Linked DNA regions of Oryctolagus cuniculus. The protein of the gene in region 3 binds, or shares a complex with, the protein of the main gene of each other region. Links are inferred from orthologs where the notes say so. Each region holds a gene or a part of one and is shown on either strand. Other genes may lie near its edges.

What was found.
Region 1: the proteins of NLRP5 (region 3) and OOEP are in contact, whole or in part, in a cryo-EM structure (PDB 8H93), measured with the Mus musculus proteins. The link is inferred for Oryctolagus cuniculus from reciprocal best matches to the Homo sapiens genes NLRP5 and OOEP. Residues at the interface, in NP_035990.1 of Mus musculus: Glu173, Leu176, Leu195, His196, Gly202, Leu206, Asn322, Leu325, Glu326, Tyr337, Ile338, Leu339, Val340, Glu341, Gly342, Leu343, Ser344, Ala345, Ser346, His373, Asn625, Gln626, Asp652, Ser655, Glu661, Leu662, Cys663, Pro664; in NP_080756.1 of Mus musculus: Ser26, Leu27, Arg28, Leu29, Arg30, Thr31, Arg32, Ile38, Val41, Asn43, Tyr48, Met49, Leu75, Leu86, Glu88, Pro95, Thr99, Lys102.
Region 2: the proteins of NLRP5 (region 3) and TLE6 are in contact, whole or in part, in a cryo-EM structure (PDB 8H94), measured with the Mus musculus proteins. The link is inferred for Oryctolagus cuniculus from reciprocal best matches to the Homo sapiens genes NLRP5 and TLE6. Residues at the interface, in NP_035990.1 of Mus musculus: Gln185, Phe188, His283, Arg307, Glu326, Lys327, Lys329, Ser330, Ser334, Pro335, Leu336, Met444, Ala447, Glu448, Trp451, Tyr465, Tyr507, Tyr508, Glu511, Glu515, Asn517, Phe520, Phe522, Leu540, Met543, Lys544, Leu547, Val571, Lys574, Leu575; in NP_444484.1 of Mus musculus: Pro147, Gln148, Pro149, Val150, Cys158, Gln159, Phe161, Leu162, Ile163, Gly165, Leu166, Trp167, Leu169, Phe170, Ser173, Arg174, Gln175, Lys176, Asn177, Ala247, Asp248, Lys249, Phe250, Lys252, Pro253, Ser255, Trp256, Leu261, Glu262, Cys265.
Region 4: NLRP5 (region 3) and KHDC3L share a complex: the UniProt entries of both Homo sapiens proteins name them as parts of the subcortical maternal complex. The link is inferred for Oryctolagus cuniculus from reciprocal best matches to the Homo sapiens genes NLRP5 and KHDC3L.
Region 5: the proteins of NLRP5 (region 3) and YWHAG are in contact, whole or in part, in a cryo-EM structure (PDB 8XI3), measured with the Mus musculus proteins. The link is inferred for Oryctolagus cuniculus from reciprocal best matches to the Homo sapiens genes NLRP5 and YWHAG. Residues at the interface, in NP_035990.1 of Mus musculus: Ser1030, Cys1031, Ser1055, Gln1058, Cys1059, Pro1060, Val1061, Glu1084, Phe1087, Val1088, Lys1089; in NP_061359.2 of Mus musculus: Phe201, Tyr216, Thr220, Met223, Gln224, Arg227, Asp228, Thr231, Ser235.

The regions. Positions count from the first base shown.
Region 1 is NC_091436.1:99,170,937-99,176,244, forward strand, and holds OOEP (oocyte-expressed protein homolog), read left to right. Parts: upstream 1-2,663; 5' UTR 2,664-2,739; coding exon 2,740-2,932; intron 2,933-3,102; coding exon 3,103-3,285; intron 3,286-3,660; coding exon 3,661-3,740; 3' UTR 3,741-3,918; downstream 3,919-5,308. UniProt on the Homo sapiens protein: Component of the subcortical maternal complex (SCMC), a multiprotein complex that plays a key role in early embryonic development.
Region 2 is NC_091447.1:59,662,130-59,667,853, reverse strand, and holds the end of TLE6 (transducin-like enhancer protein 6), read left to right. Parts: intron 1-1,170; coding exon 1,171-1,269; intron 1,270-2,094; coding exon 2,095-2,158; intron 2,159-2,238; coding exon 2,239-2,322; intron 2,323-2,637; coding exon 2,638-2,990; intron 2,991-3,069; coding exon 3,070-3,320; intron 3,321-3,643; coding exon 3,644-3,785; intron 3,786-3,972; coding exon 3,973-4,123; intron 4,124-4,227; coding exon 4,228-4,304; intron 4,305-4,379; coding exon 4,380-4,484; 3' UTR 4,485-4,636; downstream 4,637-5,724. Other genes in the region: TLE2 (transducin-like enhancer protein 2), read right to left, coding at 5,202-5,309. UniProt on the Homo sapiens protein: Component of the subcortical maternal complex (SCMC), a multiprotein complex that plays a key role in early embryonic development.
Region 3 is NC_091449.1:2,983,369-2,989,092, reverse strand, and holds part of NLRP5 (NACHT, LRR and PYD domains-containing protein 5), read left to right. Parts: intron 1-1,341; coding exon 1,342-1,401; intron 1,402-2,870; coding exon 2,871-3,230; intron 3,231-5,724. UniProt on the Homo sapiens protein: Component of the subcortical maternal complex (SCMC), a multiprotein complex that plays a key role in early embryonic development.
Region 4 is NC_091436.1:99,180,647-99,185,795, reverse strand, and holds KHDC3L (KH domain-containing protein 3), read left to right. Parts: upstream 1-2,040; 5' UTR 2,041-2,225; coding exon 2,226-2,394; intron 2,395-2,548; coding exon 2,549-2,728; intron 2,729-2,994; coding exon 2,995-3,146; 3' UTR 3,147-3,323; downstream 3,324-5,149. UniProt on the Homo sapiens protein: Component of the subcortical maternal complex (SCMC), a multiprotein complex that plays a key role in early embryonic development.
Region 5 is NC_091450.1:44,224,501-44,230,845, forward strand, and holds the start of YWHAG (14-3-3 protein gamma), read left to right. Parts: upstream 1-2,719; 5' UTR 2,720-2,961; coding exon 2,962-3,048; intron 3,049-6,345. UniProt on the Homo sapiens protein: Adapter protein implicated in the regulation of a large spectrum of both general and specialized signaling pathways. Binds to a large number of partners, usually by recognition of a phosphoserine or phosphothreonine motif.

The DNA.
Region 1 (5,308 bases), on a different chromosome or scaffold from region 3:
CCCAGTTGGCTGCAGTGACCAGAGCTGCACTGATCTGAAGCCAGGAGCTTCTTCCAGGTCTCCCATGTGGGTGCAGGGGCCTAAGAACTTGGGCCATCTTCCACAGCTTTCCCAGGCCATAGGAGAGAGCTGGATGGGAAGTGGAGCAGCTGGGACTCCAACTGGAGCACATACGGGATGCTGGCATTGCAGGTGGTGGCTTTACCTGCTATGCCACAGTGCCAGCCCAGGAAAGGATTTTTTTTTAAAGGATTTATTTTATTTATTTGAAAGGCAGTGTTAACAGAGAGACAAGGAGAGAGGGAGAGGGAGGGAGAGAGAGGGAGAGAGGGAGAGAGAGTGAGAGGGAGGGAGAGAGAGAGGGAGGGAGAGAGGGAGAGAGAGAGGGAGGGAGGGAGGAAGTGAGGGAGAGAGGAAGAAAGAGAGGGAGAGGGGGAGAAAGAGAGGGAGAGGGGGAGAAAGAGAGGGAGAGGAGGAGAGAGAGAGAGAGAGAGAGAGAGAGAGAGAGGGAGAGGGAGAGAGGGAGATATCTTCCCTTTGCGGTTCACTTCCCATATAGCTGCAACAGCCCAGGGTTGGGCCAGGCAGGAGCCAGGAGACAGCAGCTTCATCCTGGTCTCCCATGTGGATGCAGGGGCCCAAAGACTTGGGTCATCTTCTGATGCTTTCCCAGGCACATTAGCAGGGAGCTGAATCAGAAGCAGAGCAGCTGGGACTTGAACCCCTAGCCTAGGAAAGGATTTCTTAAGCGTGATAAGGGAAGTACTTTATACTATAAAGACTTCTGTCCATCAAAAGACACCATAAGAAAATGAAAAGACAAGTTAAATGGTAAGGAGAGATTCATAATATACACAGTTGAAAAAGGAGTAGTAAAGACTGCAGGAAAATGCTTGTATATGAAACAGGAACCTTCACATATTTATATCATCAACACTTTTTTTAAAAACAATATGCAGGCATTACATTGATTTTTAAAAATTATACAGAAGTAAATACCACTAAAATTAGATTATCTCCACTCAATATTTTTATTGTTTTTAAGAATACATAATATTATTTATTTGAAAGGCAGAGTTAGAGAGAAAGAGAGAGGGAGATAGAGAGAGAATGTTTTCAACTGCTGATTTACTTCCCAAAAGACAGCAACAGCTGGGGCTAGGCCAGGACAAAGCCAGGAGCCCATAACTTCCTTCAGTTCTCCCACGTGGGTAGCAAGGGCCTGAGCACTTGGGCCATCTTCCAGAGCTTTCCCAGGCTACATTAGCAGGGAGCTGGATGGGAGGTGGAGCAGCCAGGCTTTAACAGGCGTCCATACAGAATGCTGGCATTGCAGGTGGAGGCTTAACCTACTATGCCACAATGCCTGCCCGATATTATCTATAGATGACAACTGCAGCCTAGAGCCCTCTGGATGAGGGATTCAGCGCATTAATAATAGTACCTTTTCTTATATAAGTGATAGAACATTTCCATATAAAAGATTAAAAAAAAACACAGCTAATTATAAGAGTTTTTATAGCAGATGTGATGAGTATCTATTCTAAAACTGCTGAACAATTCTAGAAATGTAATAGAAAATGTGTAAGAACTGGGCTTACGTTGTGTCCCAGCAGGTTAAGCCACTAGCTTAGCCACCAGCATCCCATATGAGTGCTGATTCAAGTCCTGGCTGCTCCACTTTCCATCCAGCTCCCTGCTAATGCACTTTGAGATAGAAGGGAAGATGACCTAATTGCATCCATGTGGGAGACCTGGATGGAGCTCCTGACACCTGGCTTCTGGTTGACCCAACCCCACCTGTTGTGGCCATTTGGGGCGTGAACCAGTGGATGATCTTTCTGTCTCTATAATTCTGCTTTTCAAATAAATAAATAAATCTTAAACAGAAACAAAAACAAACAAACAAAACCACGACACTGAATGATTTTTGAAATGGCAACCATCCAGAGTCCTACGATAACAAGGAGCACACAAGAAAACCTTAAATTCGAGCTTGCCCAGGGCCTGACCTGTCTTTGGAAGGTAACTACGCAAATCTTAACGCAGGCTCTTAAGGTGAGTCCCAGTCAACAAGGTTAACAATCCAAACTGTTAATCAGGTATGAGTTAGGGCTGGGACCTTTTTTTTGACAGGCAGAGTGGAGAGAGAGAGAGAGAGAGAGAGAGAGAGAGAGAGAGAGAGAAAGAGAGAGAAAGGTCTTCCTTTGCCGTTGGTTCACCCTCCAATGGCTGCCGCGGCCGCCGCGCTGTGGCCGGCGCACCACGCTGATCCGAAGGCAGGAGCCAGGTGCCTCTCCTGGTCTCCCATGGGGTGCAGGGCCCAAGAACTTGGGTCATCCTCCACTGCACACCCGGGCCACAGCAGAGAGCTGGCCTGGAAGAGGAGCAACCGGGACAGAATCCGGAGCCCCAACTGGGACTAGAACCCGGTGTGCCGCAAGGCGGAGGATTAGCCTAGTGAGCTGCGGCGCCGGCCTAGACTGTGAAACCTTAAACTGCAGAGATGATGACCAAGCGAGCGTGCCTGAGACCCAAATGGATCTCAAACCAATACTAATTTCAGGTGGAAGAAGTCTGGGGCCAGAGTGCCTTGCGCAGACTCACTCCGAACTGGGCGGGCGTGCTGCTGCCGGGTGGGCGGGGCTGACCTGGGCCATAAAAGAGCCCGCGTGGCCTGCCGGGTCTGGAGCAAGGTTCCGGTGGTTGGTGCGAACGGTTTCAGCTGCTGCTCTCAACATGGACACGGACGTTGGAGCTGCTGAGGCCCGGCAGCACCCATTGAAGCTGACCCGCCCAGAGGACCTACTTAGGTTTCCACATCCACTGCCGCCCCCGCGCATTCACATCCGGCCGTGGTGGTTTCCGGTGCAGGAACTGGAAGACCCCGCGGTGTTCTACCTGGAGGCATGGGTGGCGGACTTGATCTTTGGTGAGCTGCTAGTGCGACTCCAGTCTGAGAGGCTCGAGCCACTCCCGGGCCTCTTTCCGGGGTGCTCTGGCTCTGTGGGTGGCTCATCCCTTCCCGGGCCATCTTTACCTTCACATCTAGCTCCTTCTGATCTGACCATGACTCCACTTGCTCTCCCCTTACTTGTTTAGGCCCAGACCGCGCCATGATTCCGGAAATGGAGTGGATGAGCCAGGCCCTGTTGAGGGTGGACCCAGTGGACTCCGGGAATTTAGTGGAAATCACGGTCCACGCACGGCCCCGTGTGCAGAACCGGGTGAAGAGCATTCTCCTGAGCCTGGCGTCATGGCACCGAGAACGTCGTGTGGCGCGAGGTGAGGCTGTTGGAGAAGCTGCAGGCGGAGGAAGCCTCTGGCTTTGCTCAGCTCCCTTCCAGCCTCCTGTAGCTATCAGTACTTACTGCCATTCCCAAACCCCAGAAGCTGCCCGCAGACCCAGGGGGTCCTTTTGGGGGGGGGGGTGCACGTAGGACCTAGGGAAGGTAAGCAAAGATCTGATGCATTCAAGCTTCTTATTGCCCAAGTCAGCCTTCGCTAGGCTGCTTCCCTGTTGCCAGACGGCACGTTCAGAGCCTTCACCTCTCCCCACTTTGCCAGATGCACCGCCCTCGTCTCCTGTATGCACGGAGCACGTGGGAACAGCCGACATTTTCCCTTGCCTGTGGTTGATATCCATTGCTTCTCTTCCAGCGGAGAAGATGAAGCACCTTGAGGAGTTCCTGAAGACTCGTTCATCGGGGCCGGACGCTCCCCTGCATCTCGATACTTAGAGCACAGGACTACGGCCAGGAGCAGAGCATTAGAACAGCCTTGCTTTTTCTAAACTTGGAGAGAAGCAGGTGACCCTAATCCCTACATTCCTTTTTCCTGTGACTTGACAGTACTTCTGATGTGAATGTGCATTTGTAGAGATATTCGAATAAATGGACTTTTTTTGTCCAATGACATAAACTTTTGCTTACTTAAATCTATAAAAGGTTGAGTGTTTATCTGACATGAGGGGTGGGTAGAAGGCTGGCAGGAGGTGGGTTTTTTTCCCCTCTTATTTTGAAACTTAGGGTTTTTTTTTTTTTTTTTTTTTGAGATAGGTCATCAATTTGAGAGCTCGTTAAAATAGTTCCCTAGGCTCTTCCTATTCTAAAAATTTGGAAGGCAGAGTGATAGGAAAAGGCAGAGATGGATCTTTTTTTCCTTTTTAAAGATTTATTTATTTGAAAGTCAAGAGTTAGGAGGCAGAGAGGTCTTCCATCTGCTGGATCACTTCCCAGATGGCTGCTACGGCCGGAGCTGCGCTGATCTGAAGCCAGCAGCCAGGAGCTTCTTCCGGGTTTCCCACGTGGGTGCTGGGGCCCAAGGACTTCGGCCATCTTCCCCTGCTTTCCCAGGCCATAGAGAGCTGGATCGGAAGTGGAGCAGCTGGATCTCAAACAGGCGTCCATATGGGAATGCGGGCGCTTCAGGCCAGGGTGTTAACCTGCTGCACTACAGCACCAGCCTCTAGAGATGGATTTTATATTCACTGGCTAACTTCCCAAATGGCTGAGGTTAAGCCAGAAACCTGCCTGGAAGAAACTCTAGGCTCCTGGCTTCAGATTGGCCCTTTAGAGAATGGATCAGTGGATGGAAGATCTCTGTGCCTCTTTGTCTCTGTAACTCTGCCTTTCAAATCTTAAAAATGGAGTTAGCACTCCAGTATGGATTGCCGGTGTCAGACAACAGCTTAACCAGTTGCACAACAACGCTGGCCCCCTTTGTCCAGTGATGCTGACTCAAGATGTGGTTAAGGTCTGTTAACTTCTACTTTTAAGACGGACTTGAAAGTTAGAGGGAGAGACAGAGTCCATCTGCTGGTTCACTCCCCAGATGGCTGAGCCATGCAGGAGCCAGGAGCCCCTTCTGGGTTTCCCTTGTGGGTGGCAGGGATCCAAATGCTTGGGCCATTCTCCAATGCTTTTTCCCAGGTCATTAGCAGGGAGCTGGATGGGAAGTGGAACAGCCAGGACTAGAACTGGCGTCCATCTGGGATGACTGTACTGCAGGCGGAGGATTAACCTGCACCACAGCACTGACCCCTAATTTGTATTTCTAACAAACTTGTGTGTAAGACCAAAGCAACTCTGAGGTTCTCACTTCAACCCTGGTAGTCTGCCCCTCAGATCACCAGGTGTGCCTTTTTCTGAGTGGTGCCTCCTGCATTGCATGTGAGTTGCTCTCCCCCACACAGGCCTAGCCTAGACTACCAGCATTTATGATGGCACTAAGTTTCACCACTGAAAAGCCAGGGTGGCGGGCCCCTTGGCCGACCAGAGGGTGCCCTGCATTGGAGCTGGCTGTTTCC
Region 2 (5,724 bases), on a different chromosome or scaffold from region 3:
GCAGGGGGCCTTGAGCACCCCTCACCCACGGCGAGCATTTTTGCGAGTGGCTGGGGGGGCCTGGGGCCGTGACGCTAACCCCACCCGCGCCATCCCGTGTGGCTGTTTGTCCTAGAAGACCGATGGGTGGAGTTGAGAGGCTGAGTTGCAGAGAGAAGGGGAGAGCCGGCCAGGGAGAAGGACCCCCCCCCACACACCTGCTGGGTCACTCCCCAGATGGCCGCAACGGCGGGGGCTGGGCCAGGCCAAAGCCAGGAGCTACGTCCCGTCTCCCACGTGGGTGCAGGCGCCCAGGCACGTGGGCCCTTCCTCTGCCGCCGTCCCAGGCTGTTAGCAGGGGGCTGGATGGGAAGTGGAGCAGCCGGGGTTTGAACCGGCGTCCATGTGGGAGGCCGGCTTCGCACCTGCTGGGCAGCACCCTGCTCCCCGCCCCCGCGTGCTGTCGAGCATTTGAGATGCGGCCTCTGTGTCTCTGTCCCGCCGAGGCCGTACAGAAGGGACAGACGTGTGGCTGCGAGTGGAGACTGGTTGGAAGTGACACTGGGTGCGGTGAGCTAGGATGTGTTGAATTCGCGCCCCCCTCGATGTTCCGGGTGGGGAAGACGAGGGTGTGGACCGCGCGGTGACTCCGGTTACCCCGTCCCGGGCAGTGCTGGTCTGGGTGTTCGCGTCTGCCCAGTAACTTCGCCGTTCAAAATTTAAAAAGGGTTACGAGCAGAGGGGGAGAGACTGAGCGATTGATCTCCCATCTGCCGGCTCAGTGCCCAGGCAGGGCTGGGCCAGGCCGAAGCGGGAGCCAGGAGCTCCATCCGGGTCTCCCACATGAGCGGCAGGGGTCCCAGCACCTGCGCCCTCGCTGCCGCCTCCCACGGTGCGCATGCGTGGGGCGCTGGCTGGGTGGCACAGGCAGGATCCAGGGTGCGCATGCGCGGGGAGCTGGCCGGCCGGCACAGGCAGGACCCGGACCCCCACCCCCATCCCCACCCCGCCTAGGTAGGACGCAGGCGGCTCGGCCTCCGCGGGCCCCAGGCGAGGGGTGGCCCTCGAGTTTTCATCTGAAACAGAAGCAATTGGGGGCCCGCCCACAATCGGCCCTCAAACCCACAGTGGGTGCGGGGCTGTGTCCTGGAGGTACTTGGCCTTGACCCTGGCACCGCCCCCCCCCCCCAGCTGGAACACTTCTCCCAGCTGCTCGAGGCCTGCAGCCAGGCCCTGGACACCCCGACGCAGGAGGTAGGGCGCCGGGCCCCTGGGGAGAGGGGGGGATGGGTGGGGGTGGGGCCCTGGGCCTCTCAGGACCCCTCGTTCGCTGCCCCAGGGGACCCCAGCCTCTCCTGACGCCGGCCAGGACCAGCGGGTGCCCTGCAGCCCCAAGACCAAGGCCCCCCGGGGCCCCGAGGTCGAGACCGCCCAGGAGTCGAACGCTGAAGCCCTGGTGGGCGCGAAGCCGCCGTCCCCCCCGCCGCAGCTGCCCTGGGCCCCGGGCACGGGCACCGGCACGGACGCGGACGCCCCGCCGGAGCCCCAGTTCTGGCAAGATGTCCTCACGCGGCTGCTCTGGCAGGGGTTTGCCGGCCCCCACGACGCGGCGAGTGAGCTCGGGGACCAGGGTGAGCGGCCCGGCGGGGGCGGGGCGGCCTGGGCCGTGGCGGGGGTGGGGGTGCACGGTGACCTTGCTCCCCTGTCTGTCTACCCCTCCGGTCGCAGGCACAGAGCTGGCGCCGGGCCTGGTGAGTGTGGGTGCTCTGCGGGGCTCAGAAGGGGTGTGGAGTGGGGGTGGGATGGGGGTGACCCGTCCCCCGTCCCCTGTCCCCTCTTCCCGTCCCCCTGTCCCCCTGTCCCCCTCCTTCCCTCTTCCCTCCCCATCCTCCTGCCCTCCTCCCTCCCCCTGTCCCCCTCCCCCTGGGCGGAGCAGGCCAGGCCAGGCTGTGTTGGAGCCACATGGTAGCCACGTGGTGGCCACGGCCTGGAGCTTCCAGAAACTGACCCCTTCGCGAAACCGGGCCCCCAGCGGACCGGGCCGAGTTGCCTGGGCAGCCGAGAGGCGCTAGCCCGGGCTCGGCTCTGACCCAGCTCTGCTGTTGCCTGGGTCAGGAGAGCAAGGAGCCGGGATCCCGCGACCTGGGGACGAACATGGGTGCCGGAGCCTCCACTCAGAGTAATCCCGGGGGAAGAGGGGGGCGGGGCAGCTGGCCGGAGGGGCCGCCCCCAGGCCGCAGCCCCCTTGTCTCTGCCCAGCTCCCCAGCCTGCCAAGGCCACCAGCGCCCGGGAGGGGTCCCGAGATGACCGCGTGAGTGCCAGCCTGGCCCGGGTAAGACCGGGTCTGTGTGGGGGCTGCCGGGGGAGGGGCGGGCACAGGTGCACGCGGCCGATCTCGTCCCACCCGCAGGAGCCTGCAGAGAGAGTCCAGCCGGTTCTGAAGCTGTTGTGAGTGTCTCCGGGGCTGGGGGTGGGGGTGGGGCACAGAGACCCCCCCCCCCGTGTGTGGACAGGAACAGGGGCCCTCCCCGCGCCACGGGCGGGTCACAGGATCGGGGCTAGGAGCCCCCACGGGAGGGGCCCAGGGCAGGGCTCTGTCAGAGCTGGGAGCAGAGAGGGGACATGTTGGTTGGGGTGAATAGGGTTTGCCTTATGAGCTGCCAAACTCCAGGCAGAAAGCGGTGCGTGGTTCTGGGGGGCCGGGGGGCTGGGGAAGACGACGCCCTTCGGGGTCGACTCGGGGTCAGCGCGTCACCCCGCGCCCCCACCCCCAAGCTCCTGGGACCCCGAGGATTTCGAAGACGCCGCGGCCCACGGGCGGCTGGCCGTGCCGCACAAGCTGGACAAGGCCCGCACGCTGCGGCACGGGGAGCTGGTGCTGGCCGCGGCCGTGAGCAGCTTCACGCGGCACGCCTTCACCTGCAGCAGGGGTGGTGTCAAGGTCTGGAGCCTGACGGGCCAGGTGGCCGAGGCCCAGCTCCCCGAGAGCCACCTGTTCCCGGGGGCGCAGGTGAGGGGCGGGGCCTGCGCGGGGGCGGGGCCCGCGGGGGGTGGGCGCTCACGGCCCCCTCGCCCCCCCCCCCCCGCAGACCCCCGGCGCCTACCTGCGCGCCTGCCTGCTCACCGCCGACAACCGGACCCTGCTCGTGGGCGGCCACAAGCTGGCGAGCGTGAGCGTGTGGGACCTGGCGGCGCCGGCCCTGCGCCCCTCAGCCCAGCTGCCGTGCGCCGGCGGCACCTGCCAGGCCCTGGCCGCCAACCCGGCCGAGAACTTGGCTTTCGCCAGCTTCACTGACGGCATGGTCAGGACGTGGGACCTGCGCAGTGGGAGCGTGGTCAGGTGTGGCCCGGGTCGGGGCTGGGCGGGGCAGGCGCGGGGTCCTAGCTCCCTCCGCGCCCCGCCCCTCTGCCTGTGCTCAGCGGTTGCCGTGGCTGTGACGTCAGTGGCGCGTCACTGCACTGGTGTCTGGGGTGGTGGTGACGACACATGTGCTAAATGCGCCCCCTCCCCGGCTCGGGGCCTGGGGCTAGTGGGGAGGATTCATGGCGCAGGTGTGCACAGGCCCTGGGGAGTGGGGGTGGGTGCGAACGAGACGGGAGGGCGGGAGGGGCCCGTGGCCGGCGCCGCCCACCCAGCCCCCCCCCCCGACCTCTCACGCGCAGGGACCTCCCCGGCCCCCCAAACTGCGCCAAGAGCATCGTGGTCAGAGACCAGCAGGTGTGGGCGGGCGGCCTGGACGCGTGCCTGCGCTGCTGGGACCTGCGTGCCGCGGGGCCACCCCTGCAGTACCCGCTGGAGTCCCAGGTGTGCGGCGAGGGCTCGGCCGTGGGCGGGGGGGGGGGCGGAGCGGGGACGGTGCTGTCCCGGTGCTGCTGCGGGGGGAGGGGCGGTGAGGCTTGACCCAGGTTCTGCCATGCCCACCTGAAGGACCAGCACGCTGAGGGCGGGGCCGGGGTCCGAGCCGGCCTCTCGCCTGTCCCCCCCCCCCCAGATCATGAGCCTGGCCCACTGCCCCCAGGAAGACTGGCTGCTGCTGGGCCTGGCAAACGGGCAGCAGTGGCTGCGGCGGCCCGACGGCAGCCAGGCGCGCATGGCCGGGCACAAGGACAGCGCCATCCTAGCGCTCAGGTTCTCAGCCTTTGGTGAGCTGCCTGGGCCGGGGTGGGGGCGCCCGCTGTGGCCCCCACGCGGGGCGGGAAGCAGGGGGGGGCCACCCATGCCCCCTCAGCACCCGTGTCTCTGCCAGGCCGCTGGTGGGTGAGCGTGGGCACGGACGACCTGGTCAGCATCTACACGATGCCCCTGGGCGCCAAGGTGTTCCAGGTAGGGTGCAGGCAGTGGGGAGCAGAGGGGGGCCGGCTCCCCGGCTCCCCGGCTCAGCCCGCCCCTCGCCTCCAGGTGCCCGAGGCCACCGCCATCTTGTGCTGCGACGTGTCCAGCGACAGCCGCCTGGTCGTCACGGGCGCCGGGGACTGTGCCTCCGTGTACCAGGTCACCTACTGAGGCCCCGTGTCCGTCCATCATCTCCTGAGACGGGCCGGGGGTGGGGGGTGGGGGAGGTAGTGGAGGGGTCTCGTCGGCACTGCGTGGGGTTCACAGCCTCTGGGCTCTGTCCGTGGAATAAAGCACTCGGCAAAGCAGGCTGCTGCCCCTGGGCCTCGTGGCGGGGGGGCTCCGGCTGGGCCGGGGGCATGTGGGCCGGGTGGGGCAGTGGTCAGGGCCTGGGATGCCGGCATCCGGCAGCTCCTCCTGCCTTTCAACTTTGACAGCAGCTGGGCCGGGGTGGTGCCGGGTGGCTGTCACGATCGGGGAGGTCCGCCTGGCCTGCTCCCCGCCCCCAGAGTCCACGGTTCTAGCGGGTGGGCAGACAGCTGCCACTGGCCCTCACACAGGCGCTGCCTCCTGGTGCACCTGCCCTGGGTGGGGCCGCCTCCTTCCAGAATTCCCGTCCAGAACCCAGGTGAGGGGCTTTGTCCCGCACCGGCTCCAGCGTGCACTCCCAGGGGCCCCAGACCCATCTCCCCGCCCCCCCCCAAGCCCTCACCTCTGAGCCCCCAGACAGCCGGTCCCCGCACAGATCCCCACCAGGTCAGAGCCAGGCACAGGTCCTCGCCGCCCCTGCCCCACCGCGGCGGCCACCCCCCGAGCCCAGCACCCAGAGCCGGTTGAGATAAATACATTTATTCCGGGGTCTCTGCGGCCAGCAGGGGAGGGGAGGGGTCAGTAGACCACCTCGTAGACGGTGGCCTTCTTGTCGCCGGAGCCCGTCACGATGTACTTGTTGTTCCGGGAGATGTCGCAGCTCAGGACGGAGGACGACTCCTTGGACTGCGGGGGAGGGGGACACACGGGGCGTCAGCAGGTGCCCGGGGTGGGGGTGCGGGCAGCGCTGGGCGCCCTGAGCAGGGGAGGGGGGCCGGGCTGTGAGGGACGGCGGGAAGCTGTCTGGTACAGGAGGGAGTACAGGTACAGGGCGAGCGTCCATCGTCTGGTTCACGCCCCAGGTGGCGGCAGTGGCCAGGCCTGGGCCGGGAGCTCCATCCGGATCTCCCTCGTGGGTACAGGGAGCAGGTGCGCATGCGCAGGGAGCCGGGGCATTGGCTAGGCCCTCCACCAGGGAGCAGGTGCGCATGCGCAGGGAGCCGGGTCATTGGCTAGGCCCTCCACCAGAGAGTAGGTGCGCGTGCGCAGGGAGCCCGGGCATTGGCTAGGCCCTCCGCGTGGAACCCAGACCGCGCCCCTG
Region 3 (5,724 bases):
GGGTCTCCCACATGGGTGCAGGGGCCCAAGCACGCGGGCCATCCTCTGCTCCCCACAGGCGTGTTAGCAGGGAGCTGGATCAGAAGCGGAGCAGCCAGGACTTGAACTAGAGCCCCACTGTGGGATGCTGGCCTTAACCCGCCGTCTGGCAACACCGGCCCAGGGCCCATCTATTTACATGGTAGAGAATTTCTGCTGGCAAATTGGAGTCCATCTGCCTACACAGAGGAGCCTTGCCTTCAAGGGGCACGATACTGATAAAAATTAACCAAGTCAACAGGTGCTACAGACATTTTGGACTTGAGGGCATTTTTAATCTTGTGTTTGTTCTCTTTGGAGCAACTGATGTGTCTATTCCAGATTGGAGGGAAAACAACTTGTTACTGTAGCTGCCTTAGTCGATACAGAAAGCAACACTCATAGAAATAGGAATATTTTCCCTAGAGTACTGAGAAGTCGTCTATTTTGGTTAATTAGAAGCTGTAGACTGGATTAGATCTTTTTTTTATTTTTTTTAACAGGCAGAGTGCACAGTGAGAGACAGAGAGAAAGGTCTTCCTTTGCCGTTGGTTCACCCTCCAATGGCCGCCACGGCTGGCGCGCTGTGGCTGGCACACCGCGCTGATCCGATGGCAGGAGCCAGGAGCCAGGTGCTTCTCCTGGTCTCCCATGCGGGTGCAGGGCCCAAGCACCTGGGCCATCCTCCACTGCACTCCCTGGCCACAGCAGAGGGCTGGCCTGGAAGAGGAGCAACCGGGACAGAATCCGGCGCCCCGACCGGGACTAGAACCTGGTGTGCCGGCGCCGCAAGGCGGAGGATTAGCCTAGTGAGCCACGGCGCCGGCCTGGATTAGATCTTAAATCTCCATGTCCTGAATTTTAGGTGGTCTAGGGTTGTGAGAAGATAGATACCTCACCTCACCTGCACATCCACAAGTTTAAATCCGAAGCCAATTTTTGTGACAATAACTGTGTTTACGGAGTACAGGTTGCTATTTTGATATGCATATATTGTAGAAAGAACATACCCATCGCCGTACCTATTTTCTATGGTGAGACATTTAAAGTCTCATTTAGCAACATTGACATATATATTAACTACCCTCACGGTGCTGTGCTGTAGATCTCTCAAACACTCCTCTTAAACCTGTACATAGTTTAAAAAAATGCAAGTTGATTTTCAATATTTAGTCTCTTTAACCAGCACTCGCTCTCGGGAGGTCTCCATCCATGTGCTAACTGGATCCTATCCTGCTTAGAGAGCAGGTAACGCAGGCACATTCAGAGTGATGTGGCCCCAGACAAAACGGGTACCTTTTGACTGACATCTGCCCCTTCCAGGTACTGGTTACCACCATTCTACCCTCTGCTTCTATGAACTTGACCTTTTAGGTTCCACAGGTGAGTGAGATGACAAATCCGAACATGACCCAGCAGTGTCTTAAGCCTGAGCGCCACTGTTGGGACGGTGCCTCTGGAGCCTCGATCCCAGGGTGCTGTAAGGTTTGCATACACGCTATGCCGTCCTGCTGAGTGCTTCACTTCACGGAAGCCGCGCAGCAGCCCTGGGAGATGTGGTTCTGACTCCCGACTTCCTCAACGAGGCAGGGGTGTGTCATCAAAATCACAGAAGTCAAACTTGGGCTCCCCCTCAAATCTTGGAGCCCACAGCACAGAAGTTCACACCCTCCTGCAGTGGCATGACAGCAGGGTTCCCTCTAGTGGCAGCCACCTGTGGTCCATCTCTGTCTGAGGCACAGCACGTCATGGCAATATGCTGTAAGTCTCATGAGCACGTTCGTGCGACTTCCGTTACAGCATGTTGCTATTAAGACTGTCTGATCTGTAAACTTATCAGAGGTGTATATGCAAATGAGACACAGCAAATACAGGGTTCAGTACCATTGATGGGCTCCGGGATCCATGAGGAGTCCCAGAAGGCCCCCCACTGTTTCCCTGTGGAATCTGACCTCGTGCCAGCTAGAAGATGAGCCGAGCAAGGTGTGAGTAGCAGGAGCTGTCCTGAGGGCCAAGGATTCTTCATAGACTCATTTGTCTGTATTTCTTTGAAGAAATGTCTTCAGATCCTTTGCCCATTTTAGATCACTTGTCCCCCCTTTTCAGAGTTTTTATATTTGGATATAAGTCCTGTATCAATAGGACTTCCAAATATGTATTTTATACCAAATATTTTTTTTTTTGACAGGCAGAGTGGACAGTGAGAGAGAGAGAGAGAGAGAAAGGTCTTCCTTTGCCGTTGGTTCACCCTCCAATGGCCGCCACGGCCGGCGCACCGCGCTGATCCCATGGCAGGAGCCAGGAGCCAGGTGCTTTTCCTGGTCTCCCATGGGGTGCAGGGCCCAAGCACCTGGGCCATCCTCCACTGCACTCCCTGGCCATAGCAGAGAGCTGGCCTGGAAGAGGGGCAACCGGGACAGAATCCGGCGCCCCAACCGGGACTAGAACCCGGTGTGCCGGCGCCGCAAGGTGGAGGATTAGCCTATTGAGCCACGGCGCCGGCTTATACCAAATATTTTAATATTCCAAACATTTTATAAAACTGTAATTCAATATTAACATGCACAATTGATCTTTAAAAACCCATAGAACTGCTAAAAACTGAAGAGCCATTTGTCTGAGTCCTGAAAATTCTCGGACGAACTCTCTTGGCTCCTCCGAGTGTGCCAGGTGCTGTCTGACAAACTAACGGGACTTCTAGCAACAGGATAAGCAGGTGCAATGGTGACCGGCCTTCTGTCTAGGAAGAAGTCTTACCAAAGGAGAGGATGCTCATCTAATGAGTCGGTTGAGGTCCGATGTGTTAACCTGGAAACTTGCCACAAATTTCGGTCTTGTTCCTCTTCCCACAGATCCTATCTCTTCCAAATTACCGAAGAATCTACTCTCTGACCAAAATCTGAGCTCTCAGCCTTGTGTCACGAAGGAAGATGACCAATGGGTCTCCTTTTCCAACTACGGTTTGCAGTGGTGTCTCAAGGAGCTGAGCAAGGAAGAACTGCAGACGTTCAAGGAGTTGCTGAGGAAAAAGCATTCGAGGTCAACGACGAGTGCTCTCCCGTGGACTGAAGTGGACAACGCCAACACGGAGAGTCTGGCCTCCCTCTTGCATGAGTATTACGAACGGCCCACTGCCTGGACCATGGCCATTGACATCTTTGAGGAGATGAAGCTATTGACGCTCTCTGAGAAAGCAAGGGATGAGATGAAAAGTGAGACTCGGGGCAAGTCTGGGGCTGGGGGGAGACGGGGGTCCCAGGTTCTTGTGACAATAGGGCAGACTTCTCTCTAGTTGCGTCCACCCCTGTGGTGCGATCACCAGTCCTCTCCACTGGCGGACATCGGTGCTGTCTCTAGTGTGTGGGAGATAGGAGGAGGAGGCATGAGTGTCCAACTCTTCCCGGAGAAAATTCAGTTGAGTGTATAGGTAGGATTTGGAGCCTAACCTTGAACTCTGGAGTCTCCAGGGTCACATGTGAGAGTTAGGGCAAGTCTCTTCTTGTCCCAATCCTGGGATTTCATGCCTCGGAACAGGAGCTGTGAAACTAGATGAGCCATGGCAGAGAGTCTGAGATCCCGTGTGGGAGTTGGCTGCCGCCCATTGACAACACGGGAGTGTCTCCCACTCGGCCCCAGGTGAAAACAGGGACTCCATAGACTGTCAGTGCCCACGTTAAGCAGTGGTCTTAAGGTGGATGATTACCTGGGTGTAATTAGGGGAAAGGACTTTCTTTAAAAAAAAAAAATAGTCCCCTTTTATCAGGAGAACGTCTCCCACCGTTGTGGACTGGAAACTTTGCTAAGTGGTTTCTTGACTGGGCAGCCAAAGTGGCCCTCAAGATGGCAGACTCTGCACACAACATGAGCCTGCTCGTCAGCCACCAGGGCCCCATCAACAGCAAAGGCTGCAAGGGACCACAGACATGGTGCTCTCTCTGCACCTGGGAAGGCCCTGAGCAGAAGACACGGTGGTACTACCTGCCCGAGTGAGGGGAAGAGATTCAAATGCTAGCTGGCGTCGCCTGGGCAGTGCTGCAGGTCGGGCCCCACACTGAGGCCCTGGGTCATGAAATGGCCTCCCCAAGCCCCACAGACCCCCAAATCGGGGCTCTTCCGTGTCCGATAATTTGACCAAGTTCACAAGCTAATAAGCGACAAGGATGAGGTTCACTGACGTCCACTTAGCATAGATGTGAATTCTCATGTCAAGCTCCAGGGGTATCCAACAGTTCTCGGTGTGGGAAGGAAGAGAGAAACGGGCAATTTTAAAGATGAAAGGTAGGGGCCAGCCAGTGCTGTGGTGCAGCAGGTTAAAGCCCCAGCCTGTAGTGCTAGCATCCTATACGGGTGCTGGTTTGAGTCCTGGCTGCTCCATTTCCAATCCAGCTCCTCGCTGGTGTGGGGAGATGGCAGATGGAGGGAGGTCTTCCACCTGCTGCTTCACTCCCCAAATGGCAGCAACAAGAAGCTGGGCCAGGCCGTCTCCCTCTCAGTGTCCCTCTGTAACTCTGCCTATCGAATACATAAAAATATTTTTTTAAAAATTAAAGATATAGGCCGGCGCCACGGCTCAATGGGCTAATCCTCCACCTTGTGGCGCCGGCACACCGGGTTCTAGTCCCAGTTGGGGCGCCAGATTCTGTCCCTGTTGCCCCTCTTCCAGGCCAGCTCTCTGCTATGGCCAGGGAGTGCAGTGGAGGATGGCCCAGGTGCTTGGGCCCTGCACCCCATGGGAGACCAGGAGAAGCACCTGGCTCCTGCCTTCGGATCAGCACGGTGCGCCGGCCACAGCGGCCATTGGAGGGTAAACCAATGGAAAAGGAAAACCTTTCTCTCACTGTCCACTCTGCCTGTCAAAAAAAAAAAAAAAAAAAGAAATGTAAGTGGTTCCTATTCTAGGCTACTGGAAAGTGAGGTCTAGGATCACTTCATAGAAGAAATAAGCCTTTTAAAAAATTTTTTTGAAAGTTACACAGAGGCAGAGAGAGGTCTTCCATCCGCTGGCTCACTCCCCAACTGGCTGCAGCGGCCAGAGCTGCACCGATCCAAAGCCAGGAGCTTCTTCTAGGTCTCCCATGTGGGCACAGGGGACTTGGACCATCTTCTGCTTCTACTGCTTTCCCAGGCCATAGTAGAGAGCTGGATTGGCAGTGTAGCAGCTGGGACTTGAACCTGCGTCCATATGGGATGCCGGCACTGCAGGTGGTGGCTTTACCCGCTACAGCACAGTGCCAGCCCCAAGCTTTTGTTTTGTTAAGATTTATTTCTTTGAAAGGCAGAGTTAGAGAGTCAGATCTTCCATCTGTGGGTTCACTACCCAAATTGACTGGAGCTGGGCCAAGCCAAAGCCAGGAACCTGGAGCTTCTTCCAGGTCTCCCACATAGGTGCAGGGGCTCAAGGACCCAGGCTGTCATCCACTGCTTTCCCAGACGTATTAGCAGAGAGCTGGATCAGAAGTGGAGCAGCCGGGACTTGAAGTGGCACCCGTGTGGGACACTAGTACTGCAGGTGGCAGCTTCACCCACTATGCCACAGTGCTGCCCCAAAGAATAAGCTTTTGGGCTGGAGCCAGAATGATGGATAAAAGCTGCCTTGTTCACCGGGCATGGCACCAAGGAGCACTCTGAGAATCATGAAGTTTTCCATGTGGGAGGGCGTGGGAGGTGTGGGCCAGACCTGGGGAAGGAACAGGCGGCAAGGATGGG
Region 4 (5,149 bases), on a different chromosome or scaffold from region 3:
GATGCCAACTCCACTTGGGATCCAGTTCCCGGCTAATGTGCCTAGAAAAGCAGAAGATGGTCCAAAGCGCTTGGACCCCGGGGCCCCCACAAGATGTCTCCGAGAGAGAGACAGAGAGAGAGAGAGAGAGAGAATCTTCCATATTTTGGTCCACTCCCCAAATGGCCACCCACAACAGCCAGGGCGTGGCCAGGCGGAAGCCAGGAGCCTGGAAGATTTATTTATTTACTTGAAAGGCAGAGTTATAGAGAGGCAAAGTCAGAGAGTGAGAGAAAGAGAGAGAGAGATCTTCCATCAGCTGGTTCACTTCCCAAGTGGCTGAGCTGATCCAAAGTCAGGAGCCAGGAGTTTCTTCCAGGTCTCTCACGCAGGTGCAGGGGCCCAACGACTTGGGCCATCTTCTACTGCTTTCCCAGGCCATAGCAGAGAGCTGGATTGGAAGTGGAGCAGCCAGGACTAGAACCAGTGGAGCAGCCAGGACTAGAACCGGCACCCAAATGGGATGCCGGCACTGCAGGTGGTTGCTTTACCCCCTACACCACAGCGCTAGCCCCCAAGTATCAAATTTTAAATGAATATTTAATTTATATGATTAATATCAACACATTCGGCATTTAACAAAGTGTCAATGATTAGATGTCCTCTTCTCTCACACAGGTCCCACTTCTAAGGAATGATATACATCATACGCGTGTTATGATACACATCAGTCCACAAGGGCCCAGCAAATGCCTGCAATGTGCAAATGTTGTTCTAGGCACTGTGGCCACACAGATAAACAGAAGAGAATTCCCACCCTCATGGTACTTCCAATACCTACTCTATTCTAGGGAGACAGCAGGGAAACCAAAGTGAACAAAATCTTCTTTGTGGAATTTAAAGCCTTAGGAGAGTAAAAAGAGACTATTAGATTTACAAATGTAGCGTGTTTTAAGTAGGGCAAAAGGGGGCAGAAGTGAGGAATAACTAATGTACACCGTGTTCTGAGATTGCTCTATAGAGAGGTCTGAGTGGAAACTTAAAAAGGAAAATACCTGAGGGCTTTTTAAGTTTGTGATTTATTTCATTAGGCAGAGTTACAGAGAGAATTTTCCATCTGCTGGTACACTCCCCAAATGGCTGCGATGCCCAGCCGACCTGGAGCCAGGAGCTTCTTCCGGGTCTCCCACACAGGTGCAGGGGCTCAAGTACTTGGGCCATCTTCCACTGCTTTCCCAGGCCATAGCAGAGAGCCGGATCGGAAAAGGAGCCGCTGGGACAGGACCCGGCGCCCCTGTGGGATACCAGCACCGTTGGCACGCTGTATTTTTCTTCTGAATTTTTTCTGAGAATAAATTGTCCCCCATGAATGAAGATTATGTGTTTCAATATTTAATTATAACGCCCAGCTGAAAGCATCTTTCAGCTGATATCGGCCAGAATCCGTGAACCTTAGCTCCGCTCTCCTCCCCACCCCCGCCTCCGCCCCCTCGGAGCCTGATCCCCTGGCCCACAGTGCCCACCCGCGGTGACTACAGCAGGTCACAGGGGCCCAGTCGCCCTTTCCCTCCTGACCCAAGCTGGCAGTGGCAAAGTCACAGCTCGAGATTTCGGATCGACAGCGGCTCCAGCCAAAGAGGAGCAATTACTCAACAACGCTTTAAGCCGAAACATCAAAGAAAAGAAATAGCGTCGTATCACTTGGAAAATGGAGGCAAAAAAAAAAAAGTTTCAAGGACCCCTCTCTGTTGTCGGTTGTGTGCATGGCATTAATGATGCATTAAGTAAGATACTTGCCCTTGCCGGAGCTCAGAAAACTGGGATACGGCGAGGGGGTGGGGGTGGGGGGGTGGAGCTCATTGGCCAGGGTGGGGAATTTACTTTAGCCCTGAAAGTAAAGTATCATGCCGCAGGTATCAATTCTTTTCTTTCTAAGCGGTATTGTCCAGCTGTTGGTCCCTTCTTTGGTCCCTGGTCCCTCGCGACCCGCGCGCAGTGGGCGGTGAGCCCACCCCCAAGCAGCGCGGCAGGAACTCAGAAACCGCCGCACTTGCGCCGCCTTGAAAAGAAGTCCGGAGCGGAGGCCGGGGGTCCAATGAGAAACGCGCCAGCGGAAGGGGCTGGCCAAAAGCCCTTGAAATACTGCCCCAGCCGGGCCCCTGCGCTCGCCGCCTCCGTGTACGCCTACCTCCATCGCCGCCCCGGGCTTCTTGCTGCGCGGTGGCCCCCCGCGAGGCTCCTGCAGCATGGCCACCCCCAAGCGCTTTCAGACGCTCGTGCAGCTGCAGCAGCGAGAAGGGGAGCTGTGCCAGGTGCTCGGGAACCTCACCAAGCTGCCCAACTGGTTCCACTCCGAGTTCCTCAAGAGTCCGAAGGCAGTTCACCTGGAGGCTTGGCTGGTGGAAGCGATCTTCGGTGAGTGCACGGGTTAGAGGCGGCCCGTGAGGCCTCGTTTGCCCACCCGCCCCGCATCCCTCAAGGCCTGGCCACGCCCCAGCTCCAAGCCCTCCTTTCGCCCAGGATCCTAGGAGACACCCCTCTGCTCACTGCCTCCCTGTTCCCCGCGCAGGCCCCGGCGGGGAGCACATCCCGCACGTCGAGTGTGTCTCCCACACCCTGCTTCATGTGAACCGATGGGACCCTGACGGCGAAGCTGAGATCTTGATATGTGGGCGACCTTATTTTCAGAAGGATGTATCCAAGCTGATCATGAACTTGGCCGACTATCACCGCCAGCTCCGGGTGCAAAGTATGGGCCCGGGAGAAGGCAGGGCGACCCCCAAGCGATTTCTGGCTCCAAGGGAGGGATCCTGGTGTCTCCTGGCTGCCAGGGCAGCAGGCTCGCTTTTCCCCTTGCCCCGAAGGGTTTCGTCTCTACCAGGGATCGAGAAGGCCAAACTGGCCCCGCGTCCTGGGGTTCCGGCCCCCAGCCTCTGTCCGCAGGATGACTTGCCTTTGGGAGGAGGAGGGTGTGGGTGACAAGGGCGCAGTCTCCTCACACCGCTCTACTTCCAGGCTCAGAGAAGGTCCAGGTGCAGGAGGCCGGCACGCAGCGGTCTCCAATCGAAGTGCGCGAGGCCGGGACGCAGCGGTCTCCAGTCAAGGAGCGCGAGCCTGGGACGCAACGGCCTCGAGAGGCTGCCGAGGACCCGGTTACCAGGCTATGAAGAGCCAAGAGCGAGAACCAGCAAGGGCTTCAAGTGCAGATCCCTCAGTAATTCTACTCTTCTAGGTCCTACTGCTGCCCTAGAAGCTGGGGCAGAACGCTGCGGGTGTTTTGTTTTCCCCCTCTGTGTTAATTGCGAGTTTAAGTTTAAGGAGTTCTAATAAAACGAGTTGCATTCCCCTGGCGTGCCTTAGTCGGAAGGTTACCAGGCTTGTTCTTCTAGCAGCCAAGATCTGCTTTACACGGCCTTCCCCTCCGGGGCAGGTGAGGCGCGTTGGGTGTCTGCCGCTCTGGGGCGGGTCCTCCCGGGTTGCGGTCAAGTGTCCCCTGGGGCGAGGGCTCTCGGGCTCCCTGAGCCAGCCCTCTTGGGAAACTGCAAGCCCACTGTGTCTTTTCTCATAGTAATTTAAGATGGGAAAACCTGGAGACGGCTTGCAGCCCTCCTAGATTGGAAGGGCCTCCTGGGCGTATAGCGGAGCTAACACCGGCCATTCCCACCTCGGTTGGGAGAGGATGCTGGGCTCGGCTACCCTTTCACCTCTGATCCCACTGCCTGCGTATGAAGTAGGATGAACACTAACAGCTGTGTGCTAGGATTGAACATTATCTGCATAATACTAGTGTTAGAAATTTTTTTTTCAAAGTTTATTTAAAAATTCAAAGCAGCTTAATTTTAAAGGTCAGGGGAGGCAAAGCGAAAAGCCTAAAGAGGGGTGAACTTTAAGCTCAAAATGAATATCAAAACGAATCATCAGCTTCAAGTGAGGCTGCACTCCAGCAGAAGGAACACTCCCTGTGTGCCTGCTGTTCTGAGAGTAGTACCCCTTTGACCAAAACATCAGATTCTCTGTTGCACCAGAGAGGTTGGTGAGCAGAAGGTAGCAGGCCAACAGAGCATTTAGGGGTCTGCCTATTGATATATAAGCCCAAAATTACCCTGTGTGCACACACACACACGGATGGGAGAGGACTTCGATGAAAGAACAAGGTGGTAGGACACCTCATTAAACATTCCTGGGTGGAGGCTGGAGAGAACCAAGAAGAAAAAAAGTTGAATTTATGGGCTGGCAGCAGGTATCTTTTGTCCACGTATGTGTGTATGTACATGCTTTTCCAGTATCTACCCCTTAAACTATGTTGCTTTATACAATATCCTAACATCTGAGATGGCAAGTGTTCAATTGGTAGTCAAGATCACCTTTTCAAAGGTTTATTTTTAGATATTTGAAAACCAGCATTAGAGGGAGAGATGGAGATCTTGCATCTGGATGTTCATTCCCCACATGGCTGTATCCACTAGAGCTGTGCCAGGCTGAAGCCAGGAGCCTGGAGGTTCCTCTGGATCTCCCAAGTGGATGGCGGGGGTCCAAGCACTTGGGCCATCCTCTGCTGCCTTCTCCAGCCATTAGCAGGGAGCTGGATCTGATGTAGAGCAGCCAGGTCTGGAACCAGCGCCCATAAAGGATGCTGGTGTCACAGGCAGAGGCTTAACCCACCATACTACAATGCTGGCTCCTAGATGATTTTTCCAGATGAAGCAGTTAAAATGCATAAGCTGGTTGAGGGAAAATGTATATACATATGGCTTCCAAAGTTCCTGGTTTTGTTCGAACATTAGAGCTCACGATATACTTACATGAATCGGTGTATTTTGCCAGTTAAGAGGATGGTCTTTGGTCTAGCAGTTAAGCTGCTGCTTAAGGACACCCCCATATCAGTCTCTGGGTTTGGTTCGTGCCTGCTTACCCCCACCACCTTCTCTCAAATGGGATTTTTTAATCATTAAAAAATGGGAGGGAGGTGTAGGCCTTTAGGGGTTAGGAAAACTACATCTCAGGGCCAGCGCCAGCATCCCATATGGGCACCGGTTCGGGTCCTGGCTGCTCTACTTCCAACCCAGCCTTCGAATCAGCTCAGCTCCAGCCATCGCAGCTGTCTGGGGAGTAAACCAGTGGAAAGATCTGTTTCTACCTAATTCTTTCAAGCAAATAAATCTTTTAAAAA
Region 5 (6,345 bases), on a different chromosome or scaffold from region 3:
GCCTCTGTCTGTCCCAGCTTCCTGGTCTACCAACCAGGGACGATTCTGAGTCTGTTGACCCCTTGGGCTTCCGCCATCTTTCAGTCCCACGGCCCCGGTCTGCACAGCTGTGGCGTGCCAACGGCTTTCCTTACAGAAGCACGGGCTGAATCTAGAACTATGACTCATCGCACTTGCGTATGGCACTCAGAGCTCATTTGGTCGAATGTTTCATCTTAAAGTTGGGGAAATTTGAGACCCAGAGAGAGGATGGGCCTTGCACACAGAGCTGGGGGCCAGGCGGAAGGTAGGAGGCTCCTTCTGCACCTCCTCGCTCCAGGTTTGTGGCAGGGGAGGAGGAAACCCGGCTCTGGCCTCTGAAGCAGCCCTCGGGGGTTTAGGGAGCCTGGGGGAGGGCAGCTGCAGCTCTAAGCCAGGAGCCTTTAAAACTCCAAAGGGGAGCGAAGGCAGAGCTGGCCGGCTCTCCCCTGCACCAGTGGACGGAAGCTTCCGGCATGCGGACACTACAGATGCTTTGGGACATCTTTTTCTTTGCATCTGCTTTATTTTTCTCAAATAGATTTGGCCCGAGGTGTGTGTGTGTGTGTGTGTGTGTGTGTGTGTGTTTCCAAGTGCATTAGACTGGTGGGGGAAGGAACTGGGTGAAGAGGTCAGCGAAAAAAAGCTGCAATGTGGCAGGAAGTTCCCAGGATTCAGCATCTGGGGCTCGACTCATTGACACATTTGATCCACATGTGGACAACTGGCGTGGCCAGAGAGGGCTGGTTCCCATGCAGCTGGGAGACCCAGGCCACGGTGGGTCAGCTCTGGCCTGCAAGGAGGAAGAGAAAGGAAGAGGAATGACTTGGCGAACAGTCCTGCGAGAGACAGAAGGAAGTGGGAGGGCTTATTCACCAGCAGGGTTGCATTCTGCTGGGCGATGTGGTAAGAGAGGCCAGGCCAGATCCCATGTTGGAGGAGGGGAGACACAGAACTATTTCTAGATCCTCTCCCCACTCAGCCCATCTCCCACACGCTGGTCCAGAGTGCACGCATGCCTGCCTGCCTGCATCACGTCTTTATTTCACATGTGCCATGCACCGACTCCGAGCCAGACTCTAAGTACCAAGCAGCGAGAAGTTAAAGACGACGACAAAATGCAAAACTGATCCTTTTTTTTTTTTTTTTTAATTTTTTGGGCATGGTTAAAAATCTCTCATGGCATTCCTATGTATGGCAGAATAAAAAGTTAGAACTCCTTAGGCTGCCATTCGGTGCCCCTTATGTGCCTGACTCCATCAGCAGCCCCCATTAAGGATCACCGGGGACACCAGGCACGGCAGACTCCTTGCCTGTTACAACGAAAGGGAGGGACTCCCGGCCCTGAAGCCCTATCATCCTGCCACGGCTGGGTCGGGGATGTCAGCAGCCTCCCTGCGGCAGGTTTTCAGAAGCTGCTCCTATCCAGCCAGAAAGAATCATTAAAAAAAAAAAAAATCTATATATCTATGTATTTGCAGCACTTACCTCCTAAATTCTGCCAGGACAGGTTCCTCCGACATCTAGCAGAGTCTAGAATATTCCCCTCACAGAAACTCATGTGAGGTTCAGAGCCCTTCCTTGGACTCCCTTTTTTTGCTTTCTAACCCACATTATTGATTTTTATCTCGCTTGTTTTGTGGGGCAGGGATTTTTTTTTTTTGCTGCTTCGTTCATTGCTGGGAGCATAGCAGGCGCTCAATACCTGTCGAACGACTGATGCAAAGCAGGCAGGCGAGGGTGGGTGCGCGCTGTGGAACCCAGGAATAAGCCTGTGTCAGGGTGCAGGTGCTGGGTGGGGGCAGAGGGGTGGCCCGCCCCAGCCGCAGTGTCATGGAGATAAAAAATTCTGCAGCTCCACCCGGAGCGGAGGAACGGGCTCCGACGCGTCCCCTGGGGACGTGAACCAGGGTGCCCAGCCGCTATTCCGCTTCCTACGTGTCACCCGGACAGGTCCAGCAGCCTCCAGGGGGACTGCGGACCTGGAGCCTCGCTTGGGGACAGAGAGTCCCCCGCTTCAGGCAGCCGTCGCGCGGGGGAGCGCCATGCTGACAGGCTGGAGCTACCGTGTCCGCGCCCCCTCATTCCCTCTCCCGGGCCCTGCTCCCCGCCATGACCGGCTATTCTGCCTGGAAAACAGGGTCTGGGCTGGGGCCCCGCCCCTCCCCGGGTAACTGCCCAGAGGACATGGGGCGGGGCCGTGAATCAGCACTCGCTCCGACCGTTGCCGCCCTCGTCCCCGCCAGAGGTCTCCCGTGTCCGCCGGTTTAGGAGCCCCATCCTCCCACGCCCCTGCGCGCTATGCACACTGGGAGATGTAGTCTCGGCCGCCCTTTTGTCTTCGGTTTCCTCAATGCGCCGTTGGACGGCGTTGTGAACTACAACTCCCAGGAGCCCACGCGCGCCCTAGGCCCGGCCGGCCCGGGGCCTGAAGGGGGGAGGGGAGTCTGGAGAGGCTTAGGCGAAGGAATCCGGGTGCAGTAAAAAAAAAAAAAAAAAGGGGTGGGTGGGTGGGAGCGTGGCGGGGGGCAGCGGGGAAGCAGAGGACACTCGCAAGACCGCAGCGGGCCGAGCTGGGGGATGGGGGACCGAAGCTCGAGCGGCGCGAATGCCCGGGCGGGGCCTGGGCGGGCGGGCGCGCGCGCGCGCGCGCGCGGGTGAGTGGGCGGGGCCGCTTGCGTCACGCGGCGTGGGCGGGGCCGCAGGGGGTTGTCCGCCCGCGGCACGCACAGCAGCCGCAGCCGCCTCGCGCCCGGTCCCGCGGTCGCAGCTCGTGCCGCCTCCTCCTCGCCGCCGCCTCAGCCGCTGCCGCCGCCGCCGCCTCAGCCTCTCGCCTCGTGGGTCGGTCTTTCCGGCACACGGGCCCCAGCCGCGCCGCAGCCGCCCTCCGAGCCCCTTCAGGCCGCCCCGGTGTCCCCCTCCGGCCCGACCCAGCCCGCGAAGATGGTGGACCGCGAGCAACTGGTGCAGAAAGCCCGACTGGCCGAGCAGGCGGAGCGCTACGACGACATGGCCGCGGCCATGAAGAACGTGAGTGTCTCCTCCCCTCCCCCACGCTCCCCCGTCCCTCCGGGAGGGGGGCACGCGGTCAGCGGCGGGCAAGGCCCGGCGCGACGGCAGGGGAGGGGGCGGCAGCCCGGGGGCTGCGTCCCCGCGGGGGCTGCGGCGGGGACCCGGGTGGGGACGCGGCCTCGCCCGGGGGGCCCGGCGGCGCTGGGCGGGGTCTTGCGGGTCTGGTCTCCGGGTGTGCGGGGGGCCCTGCGCATCCTTTGTGCCCCACTTCCCCTCCTCCCCGCCGGGCGTGGGGGCGGGGGGCCGCATGGACGCCGTTCCTCTTTCTCTCCCTGGTGTCTGGGCGGCGCCTTTCCCGTCCGCTCGGCGGGTCTCCCGGGTGGCCACCCCCTCCCCAGCCCTTGGACCCTCCCCGGGGTGTGGGGGTTGGGGGGGGGGGGAAGGTGCTCCGGAAAACCTGGGCTCCGCGGTGCAAAATCGAAACCTCCTGGCTCACGTTTTTCTTAACAAAAGGCTGTAGCTCCATGGCCCAAAGCGCATCCCCTGCCCTTTTTTTTTGGGGGGGGGGCGTTTGTCTCGCTGGCGTTTCCATTGATTGTTCTCAATATGTCATCTCCATTTTTTTCCCCTTGTGTTCTTGCATTGGAAAGGGTAGGTATCGCCCTGAAAATAAACGTTGAGAATTTAGCTCCCTGTTTCTTCTTTGAACACAGGCACGCGTCTGTTGAAATTCCTACAAGTTGAAAAAAAATATATAGAGATATAGGCACACAGTCCGTCTGATCTGATATTGCAAACAAAGCGGTGGTGGGAGGCAGGATCCAGGCGTTCCAGAAGGTTCTGCATTTGTCATATTGCAGAGAGCCTAGACTGGGTGGAGGCAGGGAGCACTTCGCGGCCAGGGGAGCGAGCCCTTGCTCAGGAATTCGCTCTGGGAGCCGCCGGAGCTTCCTGCCCCTCGCCCTGGAGGAGAGGCAGCCCCGCTCAGCCCCGCGGTCTGGTCTGTGCGGGATGCGGGTCCCTGCCCCCGGCTGCACCATTTTGTCAGGAGCCCCAGCTCGCCCCGGCCCGCAGTGTGAATTCAGGGGAGGGGGGCTATTGCTGAAGGAGACGCAGGAAAACGGATGGTTTAGGGCTCCCACCGCCTTAGTATTTCACTTCCTGCCTTATGTAACAGGGTTAGAACGCCTCTCGGGCTGCGGTTTAAGGCTGCACCTTCAGAGCGGTGTGGGTTACGTTCATTCTTGAGCAGCAAGGTGACAAGGCTGGTCTGTTATCCTTGCTCCAGCTACAGATATTAACAAAAATTTTTTTATCCTGTTGAGGAAGGTCATTGTTCTGAAATTGGAGATGGTGCTGTTTTCATACATCCACAGAGTTGGTAGTTCTTAACGTTTTAATGCTCTGATAATGCAAGTCGCACTTTTAATATCTGCTCAACACTATTGGGAATATCTCCGGTTCGTGTCCTTTATTTAGGCTTTAATTCTGCCATGTTCCGAGTTTCACAGGAAGGCGAGTGACCTCGCACCTGTACCCATAGCAGCCCAGTGATGTCACGCACAATGACACAGAGGCTGCAGTGCACCTCGGAGCTGGGAGGAGTGTGCACTTGGCGTCTGTCCAAGGAGTGCAGAAGGTGGCTGAGGAGCCAGGTGGAGCTGAGCCCTTTATCCTCCCCCAGATAAGAACGGGTCCAGAAAACACGAATTTCCTTTTCCCTCAGACATGCAAACCCGCGACCCCTGGATATGCCTCACTCGTCTTCCCGTTTCCAGTTGGTCTCAGGATCCATGAGATACTTTCGTCTTTTTGAAGCATTGATCTCGCACATTTTAAAAATTGGGACAACAGCGGAATGAAAGAATTTTTAAAATAATACAGGATCACAGTGCAGGGGTGGAATGTGTACTCGGGTTTATTGCAAATAATTGGCAGGTTTTAATGAAAACCCTAAGAAACTGCGGCTTCCCACTGGGTTATTCTCAGGAAGCCGTAGGGAACGGAGACCTTTCAGGAAACATTTGACTTCAGGATTTGGGAAGCTGCTCTGTGCTTCCTCTCCTCGACAGAGCAGGGAGGAGAGAACCAATTGTACAATCAGGGTTTTTTTTTTTTTTTTTTTCTTTTAAGATTTATTTATTTGAGAGGCAGAGAGAGGTCTTCCGTCACTGGTTCACTCTCCCAAATGGCTGCAACAGCCAGAGCCAGGAGCTTCTTCCTGGTCTCCCATGAGAATGCAGGGGCCCAAGCACTTGGGCCGTCCCCCAGTGCTTTCCCAGGCCATTAGCAAGGGAGTTGGATCGGAAGTGGAGCAGCCAGGACTTGAACCAGTGCTCAGGGGGATGCCAGCAGGCTTCACCCGGTGCACCACAGTGCTGGCCCCAACAAGGATGTTTTTTGAAAGCTATTTATGTTGACTTAGCAAGTAGGTTTCCCTCTGACTTCCTTTCCCCATCCGTGGAATGGGGCAATACCTGCCTGAATGGGTTACAGGATTACGTAAGGGACGCGGGAGCTGCGTCTGAAACTGTCCCTGCCCATGTGTCTAAGTCATCTGGAGCAGTTGGGCAGTGTGAAGGAAAACTCAGGTTTACCACCAAAGTGAGCTCTTTCCTAAGGCTGAAATCGGCATGGTGATAGAGGGGCTAAAATTTATCTGCATCTAGTGAAATAGCAGAGTGAATTGCACAGGTAGTTCCAAATGTTCATGGAAAATGGAAAGAAAAGATCAATTCTGGTGAGAAAATGTGAGGTTTGTGTGTGGCTTTTTCACAATGTGCATTTTCCATGAGCTCTTTGAAGACCCTTCGTATATACGATTTTTGGTACTAAAATAAACTCCTTTTCATTCCATTTTCCACGAACTTTCTCTTAAATTAAAATTTCACTTTCTAAAATTTTGGCTTGAACACGCGGTACCGCAAACATGTGTGGGGTCCGTGCCTTTTGAAAAGAGCTCACATGCGGGTGACCAGGATCGAAATAACGCACCAGACAGTGTTTTGAAAAGTGGAGAGTGGGTCTCCAGGACAAACGTTTGGTCTTGCCTTGAAGAGGAGGCAGGCACCTAGGCCTCCCTGTGTGCCACACGGTAGACGGTACAGTTCAGCCCCGGTTTCACTTTCCGTGGGTTGGGTTACCCCACGGTCCCCACCGCCTGTTACTATGAAGTGGAAAATCCCAGCAATACACAATGTATAAGTTTTAATTGACTTTCACTACAGTCTGTTGTAATTATTCTGTTCTATTGTTGTTACTCTCTTAATGGGCCTAATATTTTTAAGTAACACTTCATCAGAGGCATATATATAT